Regions from separate parts of the Mus musculus genome. Here all the other regions are reported to be linked to region 1. The links are microRNA targets in miRTarBase. Many come from high-throughput screens and were not tested one by one. Region 1 holds a microRNA gene; each other region holds the end of a gene's coding sequence.

Region 1 (4,125 bases):
TGCTTAATTTCAGTTGGAGATCATCCTGGTATTTCTGTGATGCTACCCATGTATGTGCATGTGTGCTTACTTGTATGTGCATGTGCATGTGTTGATATGAATATACATAACATAAACACACGTGTATATGCAGGCACACACACACAGAAGAAATTGCATTCGTCGTTACGTTTGAATGATATATGACTTAGAGCTTTAAGAGTATGTATTACTGGGCCAATGAAACGTCTTACTTACCAGTAAAAATGTTTGTTATATTCAGATGGATCAGGGGTCCAAATTCATGAGTAATTTCAAAATGACATAGAGATCAGCCTGACTTCACGGGGTTCCCCCCAATGTATGTTTATGTGTGTATAGTTTATGTGCATGTGCATGTGTGCATATGCATATACATATACATCCATACAAACATATAGAAGTAGCACAGATACACAGACACACACACACACACCCATCAATCATTTTGAATGACAGGTGACTTAGAGTTTTAGAAATTATGCTGTGCTGGGCCAGTGAGTGCTCTTAGTCAAAAGGTAAAAATGCTTGCCAGAGTCAGGAGGATGAGCAGTCAAAATTCATTCTCAACTTCATGATGAGTCTGGGATCAACTTCGGATTCATGTGATGCCCCCAATCTATTTGCTTGTGTGTATATGTATGTGTGCATGAACATGTGTATATGAATATACATATACATACACACATACCCATACAAACATGCATACAAACACACAGAAAATGGATACTCATTGTTCTATTGAATGATATGTGTCTTAGAGTCTTAGAGATTCTGTATGACTGGGCCAGGGAGAGGTCACACTCACCATGTGACGCCCCTTGCCAGAGTCAGGGTGATCAGGAGTGCAAATTCATGTTAACTGCGTGATGAGGTAGAGATCAGCCTGTCATTCATGTGATGGCCCCTGTGTATGTGCATGTGTGTTTGTGTGTGCGTACATGTACATGTGTGTATATGAATATACATATACATACACGCACACATAGATACGCACGCACACACACACACAGGGATGGCACTCATCAATCCATTTGAATGATAAGTGACTTAGAGTGAAAATGCTTACTAGAGTTAAGAGTATCAGGAGTTCAAATTCATACTTATCCTCATGAGAATTTAGAGATCAGCCTGTGATTTATGTGATTCCTCCATGTATGTGCATGTGTGTATAGTTGTGTGTGCATGTTCATGTCTATATTTGAATATACATAACATACACACACACGTATAAACGCAAGCACACATACACAGATACAGGAATGGCATTCGCCAATCCCTTTGAATGATAAGTCATGTAGAGTTTTAGAGATTATGCAATAGGGGACATTGAATGGTCTCACCCACCAGGTGTAAAAGATTGACAAAGTCAGGAGGATAAAGATTTCAAATTCATGCTTAATTCAGTTAGAGATCATCCTGGTATTCATGTGATGCCACCCATGTATGTGCATGTGTGTTTACTTGTATGTGCATGTGCATGTGTTGACATGAATATACATAACATAAACACATGTGTATATGCAAGCACACACACACACACACAGAGAAAAAATTGCATTCATTTATATGTTTGAAAGATATGTGACTTAGAGCTTTAGCAATTATGTAGTACTTGGCCAATGAAACTTCTTACTTACCAGTAAAATGTTTTTCATATTCAGATGGATCAGGAGTTCAAATTCATGAGTAACTTCAAAATGGTGTACAGATCAGCCTGGCTTCATGGGATCCTCCCCAATGTATGTGCATGTGTGTATAGTTTTGTGTGCATGTGCATGTGTGTATATGAATAGACATATACATCCACACAAACATATACAAGCAAGCACAGATACACACACAGGAATGGCACTCATCGATCCATTTGAATGATAGGTGACTTAGAGTTTTAGAGACTGCAGTAGTGGGACAGTGAATGGTCTCAGTCACCAGCTGTAAATGATTGACAAAGTCTGGAGAATCAGGATTTCAAATTCATGATTAACTTCAGTTAGAGATTATCCTGGTATTCCTGTGATGCCACCCATGTATGTGCATGTGTGTTTACATGTGTGTGCGTGTACATCTGTGTAAATGAATATATATATATATATATATATATACATATATATATATATATATATATATATATATATATATATATAACATAAACATACATGTATATGGACACACGTATGCACACATACACACAAGGAATGGAATTCATTGATATGTTTGAATGATATGTGATTTTGAGCTTTAAAGGTTATGTAGTACTGGTCAAATGAAAGTTTTTCTCACTATGTAAAAGCTTGCCATATTCAGAGGGGTCAGGAATTCATATTCATAAATAAATTCAAAAGAGAGTAGAGATCAGCCTGATTTTATGGGGTTCCCCACAATATATTTGCATGTGTGTATAGTTTTGTGTGCATGTGCATGTGTGTATATGAATATACATATACATCCACACAAACATATACAAGCATGCACAGATATACACACACACAGAAATGGCACCCATAGATCATTTTGAGTGACATGTGACATGTGACATGTGAGTTTTAGAGAGTATGCCGTGCTGGGCCAATGAATGCTCTCACTCACAAGGTAAAGACCCTTGCCAGATTCAGGATGATCAAGAGTGTAAATTCATGTTGGTTGCATGATGAGTTGGAGATCAGCCTGGCATTCATGTGATGGCTCCTGTGTATGTGCATGTGTGTTTGTGTGTGCGTACATGTACATGTGTGTATATGAATATGCATATACATGAGAGCATACATAGACACACGTGCATGTGCGCTTGCATGCGCGTGCGTGCACACACACACACACACACACAGAGGATATGTGATTTACAGTCTTATAGATTATGTAGTAGTGGGTAATGAATGGTCGCACTCATCATGTGTAAACAATTTGCAGATTCAAGAAGATCAGGAGTTCAAATTCATGCTTAACTTCAGCTGGACATCATCCTGGTATTCATGTGATGCCACCCGTGTATGTGCATGTGTGTTTACAGGTGTGTGCATGTGAATGTATATATATGAGTATACATGTACAGACACATGCAGCACACACACACACACGAATGCCACTCATTGATCCATTTGAATGATATGTCACTTAGCATATTAGAGATTATGCAGTACTTGGCCAGTGAGTGCTCTCATTCTCTAGGTGAAAATCCTTGCTAGAGTTAAGAGTATCCCGAGTTCAAATTCATACTTATCCTCATGAGAGATCAGCCTGTGATTCCTCCATGCATGTGCATGTGTGTATAGTTGTGTGTGCATGTTTATGTGTGTATTTGAATATACATAACATACACACACACGTATAAACACAAGCACACACACACAGACACAAGAATGACACTCATCAATCCATTTGAATGATAACTGACTTAAGAGTTTTAGAGATTATGCAATAGGGGACAGTGAATGGTTTCACTCACCAGGTGTAAATGATTGACAGAGTCAGGTTAATCAGGATTTCAAATTCATGCTTAACTTCAGTTATAGATCATTCATGTGATGCCACCCATTTATGTCGATGTGTGTTTTCGTGTGTGTGCATGTGGATGTATGTATATGATTTTGCATATACAGACACATGCACACACATGCGGCACACACACACACACACAAATGACACTCATCGATCCATTTGAATGATATGTCACTTAGAGTTTTAGAGATTATGCAGTTCTGGGACAGTGCGTGATCTCACTCTCCAGGTCAAAATGTATGCTGGAATCAGGAGTTTTAGGAGTTCAAATTCATGCTTAACTTCATGATGATTTTAAGATCAGCCTGTGATTCATGTGATTCTCAGCCATGTATGTCCATGTGTGTATATTTGTGTGTGCATGTGCTTGTGTGTATGTGAATATATATATCATACGCACGCACACACACACACAAATGCAAGCACATACACTCTCACACACAGAGGAATTGAATTCATCCATTAATTTGAATGCTATGTGACTTATTCTTTTAGAGATTATGCAGTAGTGGGACAGTGAACGGTCTCACTCGCCATGTGCAAACATATTACAGATTGAGCAGGGTCGGGAGTTCAAATTCATGCTTAACTTCAGCTGGACATCATCCT
Region 2 (4,125 bases), not on the chromosome of region 1:
CTTCCTCTCAGCCCCTCAAAACCCAGTGCCCTCCAGGCTCCCATAGCTGTCTGAAACACCTTAACCAGCAACGCTTTATCTCTGAACATCTGTCACCGCAGCATCAAGCTCCCTGAGAGCACAGACAGGTCTTATTCCTCTGTTCATGCCCAGTACGGTGCCTGGCAGACCACTGGTGCTAGGTGAGTAGTTCATGAATAAAGTAACAGTTACCACGTTACCACAGGGTCAAAGAAGGACTGGCATTCACACCCACCGGCACATGGGAAATACACGTGCTTACTCCTAAGCAGTGTGGGGGATCCCCTGGCCTTTCATCATCCACTAGAAGTCAGCATGCTTCCACCTGCAGGGTTACTAAATCACTTCTGGCACCGTGGTACCCTTTGCCACGATAAGGAATTAGTTAAGGAGCTTTAGGCTGAGAACGTAGCTCAGTGACAGGTCCTGAGTTCCAGCCCTAGCACAATGAAACAAACCACACACACACACACACACACACACACACACACACGCATGCATGGCATGGCATACAATTTCCAAGTCAAGAATGAAAGGTTGGAAGTGCCTCAAGGAGGAGCTACGCAGGTCTGTCTTTTGGGGTAAGAGATTTATTAAGAGAATTATCAGTACCACAGACACACAGGCACAGCGGCACAGTGTACAGTAGCGGGAACATTCAAGCCCCAGTGTCATAGACACACAGACAACATGGTAGGGTTCTGAAGAGGATCCAAGTTCCCCAGGGTAGAGTGGGGGGCCCCTTCCTATAGATCTCAGTAGAAGGGGGAGGTTTCACATCACCAGACTGTCTCTGATTCCCCTGCAGGCGGCAGGGGAGAAGAAAAAAGGTCTTGCGTTATCAGGAAGAAATATGTCCCTCTGAAGAGCAAGGACACATCTAGTTGAGACATACCCATTATGGCAGCGCCCCCCCCCCCCCCCCCGTCCAGGGAGTCTGACAACCTAAGGTCTATTCGATGGGATGAGCCTGTTACAGGGTTAGGAATTTACAGGTTTGAGATTCCTACCATAGAAGGAGGTTGTCTGGCTTGAACAAGGCCATAGGTCTGATTCTTAACATTGTAACAATAACAGAGGAAAGTTCTTTTTTATGGGGAAAATGGAAAATAATTAATTTGGAAGGAATAATAGAATCAGAAACCAATACTTTGCAATCCTCAATTTAAGAAATGATTTGGCTAGGCTGGAGAGATGGCTCAGCAGATAAGAGCACAGGGTGCTCTTCCATAGGTCCTGAGTTCAATTCCCAGCAACCACATGGTTGCTCACAACCATTTATATATAATCTGATGTCCTCTTCTGTCATGCAGGCATATATACAAATAGAGCACTCATATACATAAAATACCTAAGTTTGAGGCTGGAGAGATGGCTCAGTGGTTAAGAGCACTGTCTGCTCTTCCAGAGGTCCTGAGTTCAATTCCCAGCACCAATGTAATGGCCCATAACCATCTATAGTGTGATCTGAGGTCCTCTTCTGGCATACAGGTGTACATGCAGATAGAGCAATTGTAGACATAAGTAAATGTTTAAAAATACAAATGTAAATTTTAAAAGTAATTTGGGAAAGAATCACTAGTAGGTGCTAAAGTCACTGGTCAAATGATTATCAGGCGATGGGACATTTGGTCTCATGGTCTCAAGCCAAGATAATGAACTCCTTAATTTCAAAGGAAAGATGCAGCTGTGCACTATTACCCTCGGGGCTGGAGAGATGGCTCAACAGTTAAGGGCACTTATTTGATCTGGCAGAGGACCCACATTCAATAACCAGCACCCACATTGTGGCTCACAACCATCCGCAAGCCCAGTTCCAGGGGATCCAACAGGCACACGCATGGTGTGCACATTCAAAGGCATGCACACAAAATACTTAAATAGTAAGAAAGATAAATCTAAATTAAAAAAATAATAATACTGAACCTGATAGGGTTGGGGATTTAGATAGTGGTGTTTGCCTCAGCGCATGAAGTCCAGAACCACAGAAAAATGGGTGTGGTGGTGCATGCCCGTGATCTCAGCACTCGGGAGGCAGAAGCAGGGGGTCCGATGCTAAACACTGTCCTCAGCCACACAGTGAGTTTGCAGTGTCGGGTACATATGGCACTGTCTCAGGGGGAAAAAAAACCCCACAATCTTTTACATTCAAAATAGAAGCTGGAGAAATAGCTTAGCAGGAGAGAGTGCTCCCTGCTCTTCCAGAGGACCAGAGTGTGGTGCTCAGAAAAGATGGCTCACATTCATTCCTCTGTAACTCTGTCTCCAGAAGATACAACACTCTACTCTGGCCTCCATGGCTGCACGCACACACGCGCGCGCGCGCGCGCGCGCGCGCACACACACACACACACACACTTTAATAAAATGTGGGCAGTATTGGTGCAAGCCTTTAATCCCTACATTCGGAAGGCAAAGAAAGGCAAGCAGATCTCTGAGTTCTAGACAAGCCTGGTCTACAGTGTGAGCTCCAGGACCAAGGCCACACAGAGAGACCCCATCTTGAAAATCCAAATAAATAATAAAAATGAAAATAATGTTTAAAACTTTGAACCTGAATTCAACCCTTAGGAAATAATGAGACATACATAGAGTATAGGTTACATTTCTGTACAACAAGTGGCCTTGGATAAAAATATTTTTTTTAGATTTATTTCTTTTTATTTTATGCATATGAGTGTTTTGCCTAGATGAATATCTATGCACCACACAGGTGTCTGGTACACGAAGAGGTGAAAAGAAGGTGCCGGATCCCCTGGAATGAGAGTTACTGATGGTTGTGAGCTGCCACATGGCTGCTGGGACTTGAACCCTGGTTCTCTAGAAGAGCAAACCACCAAGCCATCTCTCCAGCCCTTCAAATGGTTTTGTAAACATCTTGTTCCTATATTTCTTCTGTGTAAGGTACCTGGAGGGGATTTAGTTCTACTGAACCATACAAGCTAGGGCTTCTCTCTAGAATGAGGCTTCTCTGATAGATACAATTCCCTGTAGAAAGATTTTGTGTTATTTGGTGTCCAAAAAAGTCAACAAAAGCCAGTGGCGGGGGGTGGGAGTGGGGTGGTGAGGACATCCTAGGCAGGGAACACTTGCTGACCTGTGACTCCTGGGATGCTGTGAGGGATACCAGTCCCCAGAACAGAGGCAGCCGTCCATCCAACTGACCACATCCATTCCCATGGGGGTGTCAGAGCCAAGCAATAGCACCTCAGAGCAGAGATGGCACCTACCGGCAGATGCCCACCATCTGGCCCAGCCCTCTAAGTCCAACTGGTGCTTCCTCATGATACAAGGATGTCTGGTCATCCTCCTGACACGGGTGAGGAAGGCCTGTGCTGCCAGGCCTCTTGGAGTTGAGGTAGGAGGGTCAATAACAGGGAGTCCAGCACAGCTAGGCCCTCCCAGGAACACCGGAGACCCCTGGAAAACCGAGAGGTCTGGATATGACTCTAACTTTACCATAAAGGCCCATTCCTGCCCACCCCTGGCAGCCCATGCCCTCCTCTATTGGTCTTTCTTGTTTCTACCACTCTGAAAAGGAGGGGAACATTTAGTTGTGACACACTCATTATGGCAGTCCTCCCACGCCCCAATCTGTAGTCAAGAGCTCCCAGGGTCTGTGAAGCCCCCTCCGCACAATATTCCCAACATACCTGTAATCCAGCAGCAGCAGACCCTGAGCTAGCAGCTCCTCCACCTCCTTGCTTGCTCCAAACACGTCCCACAGGGTCAGCTGGGGCTCAAACTGCTGCCAGTGCTAGGAATCAGAAGTCAGTGCAATGAGCTGGCCGACACACACACACACACACACACACACACACATACACACACACACACACACACTTGGATTTAATGTGAATAATAGCTCAGTGGTAGAGCACCTGCCCAGCACAGAGCTCTACGTGCAATCTTTAACTGGCATACAGCACTACCCACTGCCTCTGTCACCAGACTTCAGTTGGCCAGGTCCAGCTTCTAGTTGCCAACCTAGAGGATGGAGGGAGTAGGGCCTGGGAAGTGACCCTAGGAGGTGCTAATAATATCTGAGATCCCCCCAGTCCCTTACCTGGTGAGTGACTCCAACATCAGTACGCAGCCCCATAG
Region 3 (4,125 bases), not on the chromosome of region 1:
GGCCTAACTGGATGGGCAGCTTTTGCAGCCAAAACTTCTTCAGCTGGTCCATCAACAGCAAAATTGAATTCAGCAGCACAAAACAGTAGTGGAAAACCTGCTGCCTCATCCTCTAACCAGAAGCCTGTGGGTTTGACTGGTCTGGCAACATCATCCAAAGGTGGAATAGGTTCCAAAATAGGTTCTGGTAACAGCACTAGCCCCTCTGTCCCGTTGAAACCGCTTCCACCACTAACCTTAGGCAAGACTGGCCTGAGTCGCTCAGTGAGTTGTGATAACGTCAGCAAAGTGGGTCTTCCTAGTCCTAGTAGTTTAGTTCCTGGAGGCAGCAGCCAATTGAGTGGGAATGGAAATAGTGCTACAACGGGGCCCAGTGGAAGTACCACCAGCAAAGCCACATCAGAGACCAGCAGCAGTACCTCAGCATCTCTTAAAGGTCCAACTTCTCAAGAATCACAGCTCAACGCAATGAAGCGATTACAGATGGTCAAGAAGAAAGCTGCCCAAAAGAAACTCAAGAAGTAATATGGCCAGATAGATTTTTATATCATATTACTCTAAAACTTAAAAAACAAAACAAAACAAACAAAATAAAACCCTTACTGGGACAAAAGTTGTAATGTACTGTACCTTAATAAAAATCTTGATCAAATCTCTATTGTTTGTTACATTAAAATGCTAATATTATTTAGCCAAACTTGGATCTATTTATTTCAGTCTGTTTAGCATTTTTAATTTCCATAGTGTGTGAAAATAGTGATTATAATGACTGATGCATGACAAGAGCTTCAAGAAATTGATGGCGCATACAGATGAAAAGAAATGGCTCACCTGGTACCTTATGGGTGGCAGGGACAACTCAATAGAAAGTGTTCCAGCGTTTTATAAAATCTGAAATGTTCAGTGTCAGTCATTGTCCTCATGTCAGCTAGTATCTCTCTCCAATTACCTCCTCTTTTATCAAAATTAATTTTGAAAGTGATTTCCCATAGCTCCCTATCATGTCTTTAGCTCTCAACCACCCCTTATCAATTACTTAGGGCGTTATTTATTCCAGTAGATTATGAATGCTCATACAGTATACTTTCTCACGTTGCCCACTTTCCGTACCTGGCCAGTGTGTGGATATGTGCAGATATGTACATTTAATAAATGCTGACTTGGCTCATCCTGGTTGCACATTCTGAGAATCATTGAGAAGAGTATCCATTTCCAAGAGGCTTGGCAGATGGGCATTTATGACTAGTTTGCACCCAGCTTCTTCCTCATGGTGAAAGGACAAGCTGTTTTTAATACTTCAAGAACGTTTGGTGTGGTTTATCTTTGTATGAAAGAGGCTCCTACCTAATGATTAGTCCTTGAGGTTTCTGTCAGAACGTGCTCATATGCTTTGAATATTGTTAGGATATGGTTTGTCTTAAGGTTTTATGTGTTAGGAAGCATAATCCCCAATATGGCAATGGAGTTGGTGGTTGACAGGTGGAGCCTGTTGGGGGAAGAGTATGCCCTTGGGAAGGATTAATTAGTCCTCATATGTCCACTGACTAATTCTGGCCAAGAGTGGAGTTATAAAAGGCTATCCCAGAATTGACCCTTGGGCAAAATCTCCTCTGAACTCTTGCCGTGATGTGATCCTATATACATGGTCCAAGCCATTGTCTTGTAAGCTAATGAATTACCCATTAGTTTACATATATATATGTATATATGTACATACCCCAACAGAGAATACTTTCTGTATCTGACCAGTAAATGTATTATAGAAAAATAGCTTCCTTTCTTTTTTATAATCAATGAATACCTCATTATTTCCCAAAAATGAATCTTGTGATTTCCTATATTCATTGAGTCAAATTGCTTTAAATCTAATCTCAGTGTATCTTTATCCCTAGATGTTCTAACATCATTATTCTAAAAATAAATTGATAATCATTGTAAAAGAGAAAACTTTTAAATTAAGCTTGGTCTTTTTCTATGGAAGTATTTTAAACTGTTAAATAATGGCGTTAAATTGTTCATAATAAATTAGAAACCAATATTGAAATAAACTCAAAATTTAGAGATGGAATAAATATCTATTTATATACTTAAAAATGTGCCTGTAGATGTTTTTGTTTTGTGAATCACCTTTCTGTTCATTAACACTGGTTTGGTATAAACTCCATATCCCCTTTATAAAGAGTTCAAAACAGTTTGTTTATACTTCAAATGCAATTTTGACTTAACAAAATGACCTGACACAAGTTTATATCAACAGCTATTACAGTTATTGAAATTCACTTCCTTGAAGACATTAGAGAAATAATGCTTAGTACAGTTTACATATTAGCTTTGAAGTAAAAAAATTTTAGTCTCATTACAGAAAGTGTGCTGGATCTGAGAGAAGCAATTATTTTTGATATTTGTGGCACTAGTTGGAAATTTTAATGAGTTTAGGAAGTAATTTATCTTTCAGTGAATAGGATTCTTTGTATAGGTAATTTGTGTGCGTGTGTGTGTGTGTGTAGTAAGGGCCTAAATTTGGTATTTTTAAGGTATATATTTGATATTATAAATTATTATAAATTAACTAGCTCATAGGCCTTTATTTTTTTCCTCATCAAGTATACTACAAGAAGCAGTTATGAAAGTAGCAATAGTATGGGTTTTTTTTTTTTTTTTTTTGGTTATGTATAACAAGGATTTCTAACACTTGAGTTATATGAGGGGTAGAGAGCTTGTTTTGTCTTGAATAGCATTGGAATCTCCAGCTCTCCAGTGAATGAGTGAACAAGTGAGAAGGTGTCTTAGTTTTCTCTTCTGTTGTGATAAAATACTCTGACAAAAGCAACCTAAAAGAGAAAGGGTTTATTTGGGCTTACAGCTCTCAAGGGACAGAATCCATCATGATGGTGAAAGCAGGGCACCAGACCATGAGGCCAGTTGATGAGTTTGTCTCAGCTTTCAGGAAACAAGACATAGAGCAGGGTATAAAACCTCAAAGCCCTCCCCCCAACCCCCAAGTGACTGTTTCCTCTAGTAAGTCTCCACTTCCTCTAGATCCCATAACGTTCCAAAAAGCACCACCAGATGGCAACAAAATGATGAAACATAGGAGCCAAGGGGAAACATTGCACATTAACAACCACAACAGCAAGTGTTCTTGTAGAGATTTAGAATTGACAATTCGAACTATCCTGGTCAGTATCCTTTTCCTGTTTTTCATATTGTAATTTATGAGATCAAGCATAGAATTTAGTGAATTGAAAATAGATGAAATGACACAGAAAGAATGCTGGTCTTAAGATGCAATGATCTGGTCTTCAACTCCTTTGTGTTAGTTTCCTACTTTATAAAACGCAGTTCAGATGAGATAAAATGAAAAGACTTAATACAAACAACCCCTGGTTTATAATGCTTTACTGTTTTCTTATTTTTCAGTAGTGTGAAAGTCACATACATTTAGTTGCATCTGCACTTCAAGTCATCTTCCTGTGTTGCTCACATATTCTGAAATTCTATTTCATTTCCAGGCAGGGGCAAAAGGTTGCAGCTCCCAGTATTCATGTGATCATGCCACCAAGCAACTGATACTCTCTATATAGCAATGACTTTCTGAACAATGTGATAGTCAGTAGATCAGGATGTTTTAAACACATGGTGAGTATATCAGGTTATAAGTCCACTATAAAAGCACATCTGTATTTAAAAGTTAGATGATTCCAGATCTTGACGAGGGCATGATAGTAGTTTTATTAGTTACAATTATAAATTGTCACGACCCCAGGTTTCACAGGAAATACATCACTTTTAACAACATGAAATTTTAGTAGTACAAAAGTCAGAAGAAATTAGAAATGTGATGGATACATTCAGATGCCTCAGTGGAATTTTAAGCAAAACAAAACAAATTTAATTTAGTAAAAATATATTCCCAGGATTTCCAACCAAGAACATCTTAGGTCTAGTCTTTTCCAACGTGTTGACCTGTTTTTCAAAATACGCAAAATTTACCTGCATCTAACCAGAGTGTACAACCGTGAAAATCGTAGCTACGTAAAGACCCCAGGGTGAGAGCCAGTAGAACTGAAGTACTATAGTTTGGACTGGATTGATTTTACATCTATGTGTGTATAGAGAAGGAAG
Region 4 (4,125 bases), not on the chromosome of region 1:
ACTGCCTAGTCATGGGTCCAGTTCATGTACAGGTACCTTTTTATTTTTCGTTTGTTGTTTTTGTAAGAATTAGTTCTACCCTGTCATTGCTATTCTGAAAGAAACAGTGGGAGTTCTCAGGGCCACCCAGAATCTGAGAACCAAAACCAACCCTCAGGAGTCTCTCTTAAACCCACCTATCTAGACTGGAAACAAGGGAATCCGCTTCCTGTCCTGTACCATTTCCAGTGTGCCCTTGTCTACTCTCCTCCTGCTCCCACCTAAGGCCCAGCTAATGAGTTCCTTCTGCCTCCACCAGCACTGTTGCCAAGGGACCAAATGACGTCGTCCCAGGAGGAAACTTCAGCCTCTATGCTTTGAAGAGCTGCTGCAACCTGCTGAAACCACCAACGCTGAACTGCAATTGGATCCCTAATAAATTGTGATCTCAGCCATGTGTCCAGTGGGATTCTGCATGCAGATGCTGGAGTTCCTGCCCTGGAGGGGATAGAAAACTCCGTCATGGACTCAGACTTAATGGCAAAGGAGGAACAAGGTCAGGAGTGAGTCCTCCTGAGCTACAGTGTCTCCCTTCTCCTTTCTCTCCTTAGCCCACCATCTCTGCATGGAGAACTAGGATGTTGTCCCTAGCTGAGGTGTGATCCTAAGCCCCAACAATATTTTCTGACTTTATAGTTTCAAGGCATTTCATGAAAAAATATGTGTATATAAACAAATATATACACATATATATGTCTGTGTGTATATGTATATATATACACATGTAATAGTATATATATGCATACCATATATATTTATATAAATATATATATACCAATATATATGGTAGTTCCCAGCAACTGGGCCAGATAGATAGATAGATAGATAGATAGATAGATAGATAGATAGATAGATAGATGTGTGTGTGTGTGTGTGTGTGTGTGTGGTAGTTCCCAATATGATTTAAACACATCTCAGGCAAGGTCATTCCACCCTCACTCAAGGTCATCTGAAATACCTTCAACTTGAATCTCATGTGAAGGAGGGCTATTCTGCAATGGCCCATTCATTCGCTACCATCCAGAAGTTTCTCATAGATCAAGAGTCCTTCAGAAAAGCACGCAGGCCATACGAAAGCCAATACTTGAGTCCATAAACATAGAGCCTTGTAAGCAGCAAGCTTCCATCCACCTATGCTGCAGAGACTCCCCGCTAACTTCAACATCTTACAAATCTTTTACGGATATGTTTGAAATGCTCGGCTTCAAGATTCTAAGTCTCATCAGCCTCAGAGGCTTGTAAGCAGTCGTCCTCCATCTTTTTAAAGTTAACATTGTATTTTTTGAATGAATATCTTTTATTCTTTGGCAATTTTACACATGTGTATAATGTACTTTGATCATACCTACCCTTAATTCCCACTGCCCCCACCCTCCTAGACACCCCTCAGCTTGTCTCCACCTCACCTTCTTGCCCTCTCCTCTATGTTTTGTAACCTTCTGAGTCTAGGGCTGCCTGCCACAATGTTGCCTGGCACTGTTGGCTTGATCTTGTGGGAGTGACCATTTCTTCTGTAACTTACTAAGTCTAGGGTTGCCTGCAACAATGTTGCCTGGCACTGTTGGCTTGATCTTGTGGGAGTGACCATTTCTACCTTGAGCTCATGAGTGCAAAGTCTGTCCTGTTCGGAAGACAGCATCTCACAGCTCTTCCCCAGCCCCTGGCTCTCACATTCTTTCCTCCCCATCTTGAGCTCTATTCCCTGTGCCGCAAGGAAGTAGCTATAAATGTTCCAGTTGGAGCTGAGCACTCTGTAGTTGTGTATTCTCACATTTATCATCCATGAGTCTCTGCATTGCTAAACTGGGGTTTAATCATGTCTGTTTTCAGTACCCTGGCTAAAAGAAGTGGTCCCTATATGGGTTGACCTTAGGGAAACATGCAGAAACAGTGTAATAGCTCTTAACTTTGCTGCTAGGAGCCAGATTTGGTGCACACTCCTGTATTCCAGCTCTGGGAAGCTGAGACAGGAAGATTATGAGCTCAAAACCAGCACAGGGTACATAGCAAGAGTGTGTCTCCAAGCAGCAACAGCAAAATTTATACAAGGTAATAACACTCTTCATTTCCACTCTGTGCTGTGAGCCAGAGAAGTTCTGTGACAAGGAGGTGTCTGAGGCCATAAATGAACTATCCCTGTCACAAGAGGAAAACAGTGGACACTTTTTTTTTTTTTTTGGTTTTTCGAGACAGGGTTTCTCTGTGTAGCCCTGGCTGTCCTGGCACTCACTTTGTAGACCAGGCTGGCCTTGAACTCAGAAATCCACCTGCCTCTGCCTCCCGAGTGCTGGGATTAAAGGCGTGCGCCACCACGCCCGGCTACAACAGTGAACACTTTGAAGAAGTCAATAGACTACCAAGGTGCCTGACATCCAAGTCTCTGTGATTGTGTATATAGACCTGTTGATGTGCAATTTTGTTACATTCCTGATTAAGACTGTAAAACATTAGTGCTCAGTCAAAAAGCCACGTAAGGGCCAACTATGAAGGACACTCAATGCCCACTGAGGTGGGGATGGCTTTCACTGGCTCTCCTGTCAATCAGCAAGACACCAGCATCATGAGTGCTCCCTGGGGGTTATCAGCAGAACTCGCTTTAACGAAATAAGTATCGACGGTGCAGAGAACACACTGAGGAAAACCTGAGCCAAAGACGACTCAAAAGGAAGAGTGTCAGCGGGGAAAGGGTTATGCAATACCTTAGATGATGTATTCTGTTTCCCCTTCTGACCATGCACGAGAGCAATTAAAAAATAATCTATGCATAAATAGTTGGGATTATTTGTTGGTTTTGCTTTATGTTTGGTGGTGTGGGAGGAGGGCTTGTGTGTCCAAAGAACTTTTTGTCCCTGAAGTAAACAGATCAAGGTATTTCTAATTTTTTTTTTCGAGACAGGGTTTCTCTGTATAGCCCTGGCTGTCCTGGAACTCACTTTGTAGACCAGGCTGGCTTCAAACTCAGAAATCTGCCTGCCATTGCCTCCCGAGTGCTGGGATTAAAGTCGTGTGCCCCCACACCCGGCCCGGTATTTCTAATTTTTTTTATTATTTTCATCAATCTTTCTCAGTCTTTATACTTTAGGAAAAGCCATTTGTGTGTCCTTGTAAGCCTTAAGGTTTCATTACAGCCTACGGAACAACGTCGGAAGTGCCAATTATTCATATGTTGGTTCTCTCTTGTCTTCTATAGCTACTATCTTCTCTCTGATGCTTTTTTTGTTGTTGTTGTTTTTGTTTTGTTTTGTTTTGTTTTGTTTTGTTTTTGTTTTTTGTTTTTTTTTTTTTTTTTGGTTTTTCGAGACAGAGTTTCTCTGTGTAGCTCTGGCTGTCCTGGAACTCACTCTGTAGACCAGGCTGGCCTCGAACTCAGAAATCCGCCTGCCTCTGCCTCCCAAGTGCTGGGATTAAAGGCATGTGCCACCACACCCGGCTCTCTCTGATGCTTTTTAACCTCCTGATTTTTTTTTATATATTTGTATATATTCTTCCTGAGAATCCCTGAGAGAACCTTTTTGTTATTTCTAGAATGCCTATCAATTTTTTTTTAAATTTTGTCTTTGGTCAATATGTTTCTTTGTTTAACTCTTTCCTGAGCCTGTCAGCTTGCCTCAAGGAAAGCAATTATGACTGTTTGTCAAAAAGTTTTTTCTCTTTAGTTTGTAAAAAATAGACGTTCACAATGAAAACACTGTTTGTTAAACTGGAATAAGAAAATCTAAAATATAATAGTTTTACACGAACATAACTAAACATCTTTCTGCCCATTCTGAGCACCCCAGTTCTCCGCCAACAGAGAACTCACTGGTAACTGACCAGTACTCATGCCTTTCTTCCTGTTTGTACAAACACAGAAGAGCATGTAAGGGATCAGTGATGACAGACACAGCAAATATTTGCATACTACCTTTCACTTCCTCTTCACAGCTAGTGAGATGCTTTGAAAATCCCCCTTTGTCTATAGCTCTAGCTTTAGCTTTCCGTTTTCTTTATGCCTGGATACACACACGCAGCACACACACACACACACACACACACACACACACACACACACACACACGCATTGCACTATACAAATGAGATAATGCC
Region 5 (4,125 bases), not on the chromosome of region 1:
AGCCCCCACTCGTGATGCATTGTAAAAATGAGATGAATATCATTACTCTTTACTTGTGATATCTTATACCTGTTTTTTTTTTTTTTAATAAGAACTGGTGGTGATTGCTATTGATAGAAGTATGTTTTCTCTTTATTCACAGTGTTCCTTGTCACAGTGAATCTTTCCTCTGAATATTATTGTTAATAACATTTGCAGGTAACTCTACTTTCAAAACCCTCTTTGCTAGGCTCCGCATCTTAATCCTCTTGTTGTCATTAGCACTGAACAGCTTGAGAGACTGAAACTCGCATGCAGATACATTATTAAAAGAGGGGGGTTGGATTTGCCCACATTCTTTTCTGCCTCAGTACTTTTTTTTTCTTTCCTCGTCTCTTCTATCATTGGATGGTATTATAGAATTGTGTATGGTAAGTTTATTCATATCCCTGCAATATGGCTGGGATGCCAGCTATGTTCGTCATGTGTAGGAAACAGAGATCCAAAGACAGAAGGCATGTTTTCAAGTAGGATTTACACCAAGAGGTTCAGTAAATATTTAAAATGTAGGAAGGACACTTGTGACAAAAATGTAAATGAACAGTTGTGCCACTCAGGTCCTGAACTGCACTGTTAATGAAATTAAAGCACAAGTATTCTCGCAAGAAAACAGAATGAAATAGAAAACATAAGCTATGCTTCCAAGTTTTGAGTGAATAGAGAGCTTCCGTATCTTTAAAAGACCTTCATTCCCAACTTCTTGGGAATGTGTAAGTGTGTGTGCTGTAGAACCATGAAGCAGAACAACAGCCAAGCCACTGAAATCGAAACACACAAAGAAAGAAAGCCAGAGAAGGGTATGAATCATTTAATCACATAGGATTCAAGTCTATCCCCAGATCAGTTGACTTTTATTCTTCACTTCAGTTAGTAACATGTCCATTGGCTTATCAGAAGGTTAGGCATGCACCTTGAGATGGTCACAAAAGGTACACGATACAGGGGGGTTATAGTTAGGCTATATAGTATATTCAGAATCCCAGGGGAACTATTAGATTCTGGAAATATTGATTAAGCAAGATGAAAAACTCTTATACAGTTTCAACTACAGCAGTGATAAGGACAAATGCACGCTTCGTTAGCCACAAAGCTCACAAAAAAAAAAAGTAATTGGTTGAAGAATATCTCTTTTATGCAAAATAGACATTTTAGGATATAATTTGATAATATTCTACTATATACTGACATTTTCCTTAATCATTTAATAAAAAAATATTCTCATTGCCAGAATTTATACTTTTTAATATTTATAATTGAGGTAACAAGGACAAAAGACTTAAAACTATGAACACTGTTGATGACTTTCTTCTAGATAGTAACAGCCTTCCAGAACTAAATGAACACGTGACCAAGAAATGGTTAGATTTCTATGTAGACACTAGAAGTTTACAACACAGTCGACACGCTGATCTATAAGCGGTTTGCAAGAAAATGAGGCAATCAGTGTTTGGATATCCAACACGTAATGTACAAATAAGAGAAATGAAAACAGACCTATACTACATCGGATTCACTGCCCTCTGTAATTCACTCCAAAACCACCGTGAGCCTGAGAGGAGCCATTCAGAGCCTTGCGGGCATTCCTTGAAGCCCCACAGACGCTGACCATGAATGTGGCGTCTCACCGTCTGACGTCTCACCGTCTGATGTCTGTGGCGTCTCACTGTCTATGAGACGGTGAGAGTGGGCAGGTCCATGCACACGGTTGGTATTTACAGCTGTTCCGTGGACTCAGGTCTGTCGACAAGCAGAATATTCCCATGGCGAGCACCATCTCAGTTCCAGCCACAGTCCCTTTTATAAGCTTTAAATGCCTCATAAGATGCGGGACCTCTTCTGGAAACAAACGGGTCACATCGGGTTACATTCGGTAGCAGAAGTTTTCTGGTACAATCCTTGGAATGGCTAAATCTCAATGTCCTTTTTTTTCAGCAGTCAAAAATCCATGATAAATTCTGTACAACACTGCAGTCAATAACAGCAGCACCAGACAGCATGTTAATTCCTTACCGTAAATCTCTGAGTACTCACAGCATTCTACGAATGGTGTTATCAAAAGAATCGTGGAGTCTCTAAATTTCGAGTATTTACGTCTGGGTAAATGCATTGCTGTACAAGATCTCTTGACATGCAGCTCATGCTCTAGGGCTTGGGAATGGAGACTAACACACGTCTCTATCCAATAACACAAGTGACAATTGCCTTTCTATCAAAAATAAACATGAGAATCAGGAATTCATCAACACGCGTAAGGATCAATTCATTGAAAGTTAAAGTCTAGGCTGAGATTATATTATGGCATTTTCCTTCCTTCGCATACCCAAAATATCAGATACACTATTGCTACAGCATTTGGTAGGGATGTGTAAACAGACTATCTTCCCTCCAGACTGAAAATAAATAAATAAATAAAAAAGACTCCCTAGGGATGGTTCCTGGAACGTACTGGTGAATGCTGATTGCTAGGCAGTAGAAACCAGCACTGCCATAAGGAACAGAGAACTATGGTGAATTGCTGCTTCGGTCCTGCTCATGGAAAAAAATATTCACAGTGCCTATTAATCTAGGTAGTCTACACAGCATCATTAGTTTTGCATACAAGAAGACATGGGTAGGAGGTAGGGAGTTCAAAGAGACAATCAGGGCACGTCTACCCTCTATGGAGACAGCATATAGAGTTAAGACAGGGAGCTAAGACAGACAGATGGAGACAACACACGGGACGAAGCACCTGATTAAACACAGCCTGAAAATTCTGGTTAGTCCTTTGATGCAAATCTTAAGGCTAGTCAAAAAAGCCTCCGGTGAACACCAGTAACTTTTAATGTTCACACAAAATAATAAATAAAAATAAAGAGGCAAGAAAAAAAAAGACAAAAGCTTTGGGTAATATTTGGCACTCTACCTCTAAAAATAATGACAAATTCTAGGACTTAAAGGGGGGGGGGGGGAATGGCTCTAGTACCAAGCAGCGATTCTTGGCTAAACAATGCAAGCCTGGTTAGCTGTTACCTTTCTTTCATGTTTTGTGCCTTCCCCAAGTCATTAAGTAAGAGATCTGGCCTCGGCTTGCGTGTAACCAGTAATGACAACCTCTTTGCAGTTATCTGTGTATACAAACAACCAAAAACATTCAGAACACCAATACAGCATTTGTTTGTTTTTTATAAAAAAAAAAAAAGAAATCAATCGAAAAATTAAGGTATTTAAAGTAAATACTTCTATCAAAGAAGGGGTGGGGAATAGCAAGGAGAAAGGCACCCCTCCCTGCCCCACAATTCAACATGCAGAACAGGCTCCCAGCGATTTCACATTTGCAGGATGGTTTGAAGCAAGTACATGTATCCTGAGCCATCCAGTCCCAGGACTCTACAACATTGTATTCAGGTGATACAGACAAGATGGTCCATGCCAATGAACTGACCAAAGTCATGTCCTATGCGATCTAGATAGGATCCCAGACATCTTCAGAATGGTTTGGAGTCACAAGAAATGAAGGTCCAGAAAGGTGGCTGGCATTTAGAAGCACACTATTAAAGTCTCCCTGAAGATATGGCTTATGCATTAGTGCACTGGCCAATATCTGACACTATTGGTCACTGTATTGCAAAAGGAAACTGGGGCAACTTGTCTTGAGTAGTAGCACTACTTTAGATCATCTTTAAAGCCAGGATAAGATGTTTTAGCTACTTGCGTAGCATTTCTGACTTCAAATAGTAATATCATGCAGGAGCTACACTGTTACTAATGGAGCCTGGAGAAACTCTACAGTTGATTGTTTCCATTACAGGGTAAACAGTAGTTGGTTGTATTGATAGAATTTAGCCGATTGATGCAGTTTGGTTTACAAGATAGATGGGATGGGAGACCGAGAGCGCCTCAGAGGACACGGAGAGTTGTAGGGGGACGTTACTGGAGAGAGTCTCAGAGCATTGCCTGCCAAGCCCGCTATGTTGTTTAAGCTTCGGGATTTTTCATATCCTTTTATGAAAAAATGCATAGACATCAGTTGAGTTCAACCAGAAATTAGAAAGAGACAAACAGTACAGTGCAGGGTAACCCCAAGTTCTATTTTTCAGCTAAAAC

What was found. Region 1 holds the annotated microRNA mmu-miR-669m-3p (AUAUACAUCCACACAAACAUAU, at 1,817-1,838, shown strand). A microRNA usually pairs through its seed, bases 2 to 8, with sites in the 3' UTR of a target mRNA and lowers its output. Matches are read on the target gene's strand: a 7mer-m8 pairs with bases 2 to 8, a 7mer-A1 pairs with bases 2 to 7 and ends in A, and an 8mer does both.
Region 2: the mRNA of Rsad1 is a reported target of mmu-miR-669m-3p. Seed matches in the 3' UTR shown: 7mer-m8 at 1,359-1,365.
Region 3: miRTarBase lists Ints12 as a target of mmu-miR-669m-3p. Seed matches in the 3' UTR shown: 7mer-m8 at 1,700-1,706.
Region 4: miRTarBase lists Slc28a3 as a target of mmu-miR-669m-3p. Seed matches in the 3' UTR shown: 7mer-m8 at 746-752 and 7mer-A1 at 1,362-1,368.
Region 5: miRTarBase lists Kcnc2 as a target of mmu-miR-669m-3p. Seed matches in the 3' UTR shown: 7mer-A1 at 1,071-1,077.

What each region holds. Positions count from the first base shown.
Region 1 is chr2:10,511,031-10,515,155 of GRCm38, forward strand. It overlaps Mir669m-1 (microRNA 669m-1), which reads left to right and starts at 1,760; the gene lies at 1,760-1,857. All of the region lies in intron 10 of Sfmbt2 (Scm-like with four mbt domains 2), which reads left to right. Mir297b (microRNA 297b) reads left to right here and starts at 637; the gene lies at 637-745. It overlaps Mir466d (microRNA 466d), which reads left to right and starts at 937; the gene lies at 937-1,032. It also overlaps Mir669m-2, Mir466n, Mir669o, Mir466g and Mir466h.
Region 2 is chr11:94,539,207-94,543,331 of GRCm38, forward strand. Rsad1 (radical S-adenosyl methionine domain containing 1) reads right to left here. Exons shown (of 9, transcript NM_001013381.2): 7 at 4,088-4,125; 8 at 3,675-3,778; 9 at 592-3,441. The coding sequence ends at 3,324. Among named protein-coding and RNA genes, the nearest start is that of Rsad1, 7.9 kb to the right of the region's middle.
Region 3 is chr3:133,108,895-133,113,019 of GRCm38, forward strand. Ints12 (integrator complex subunit 12) reads left to right here. Exons shown (of 7, transcript NM_027927.4): 7 at 1-2,094. The coding sequence ends at 525. It overlaps Arhgef38 (Rho guanine nucleotide exchange factor (GEF) 38), which reads right to left. Exons shown (of 14, transcript NM_001368752.1): 14 at 3,384-4,125. Among named protein-coding and RNA genes, the nearest start is that of Ints12, 19 kb to the left of the region's middle.
Region 4 is chr13:58,551,990-58,556,114 of GRCm38, reverse strand. It overlaps Slc28a3 (solute carrier family 28 (sodium-coupled nucleoside transporter), member 3), which reads left to right. Exons shown (of 18, transcript NM_022317.3): 18 at 299-2,808. The coding sequence ends at 425. Among named protein-coding and RNA genes, the nearest start is that of Gm38494, 7.6 kb to the right of the region's middle.
Region 5 is chr10:112,463,012-112,467,136 of GRCm38, reverse strand. Kcnc2 (potassium voltage gated channel, Shaw-related subfamily, member 2) reads right to left here. Exons shown (of 5, transcript NM_001379643.1): 5 at 833-4,020. The coding sequence ends at 3,884. Among named protein-coding and RNA genes, the nearest start is that of Kcnc2, 200 kb to the right of the region's middle.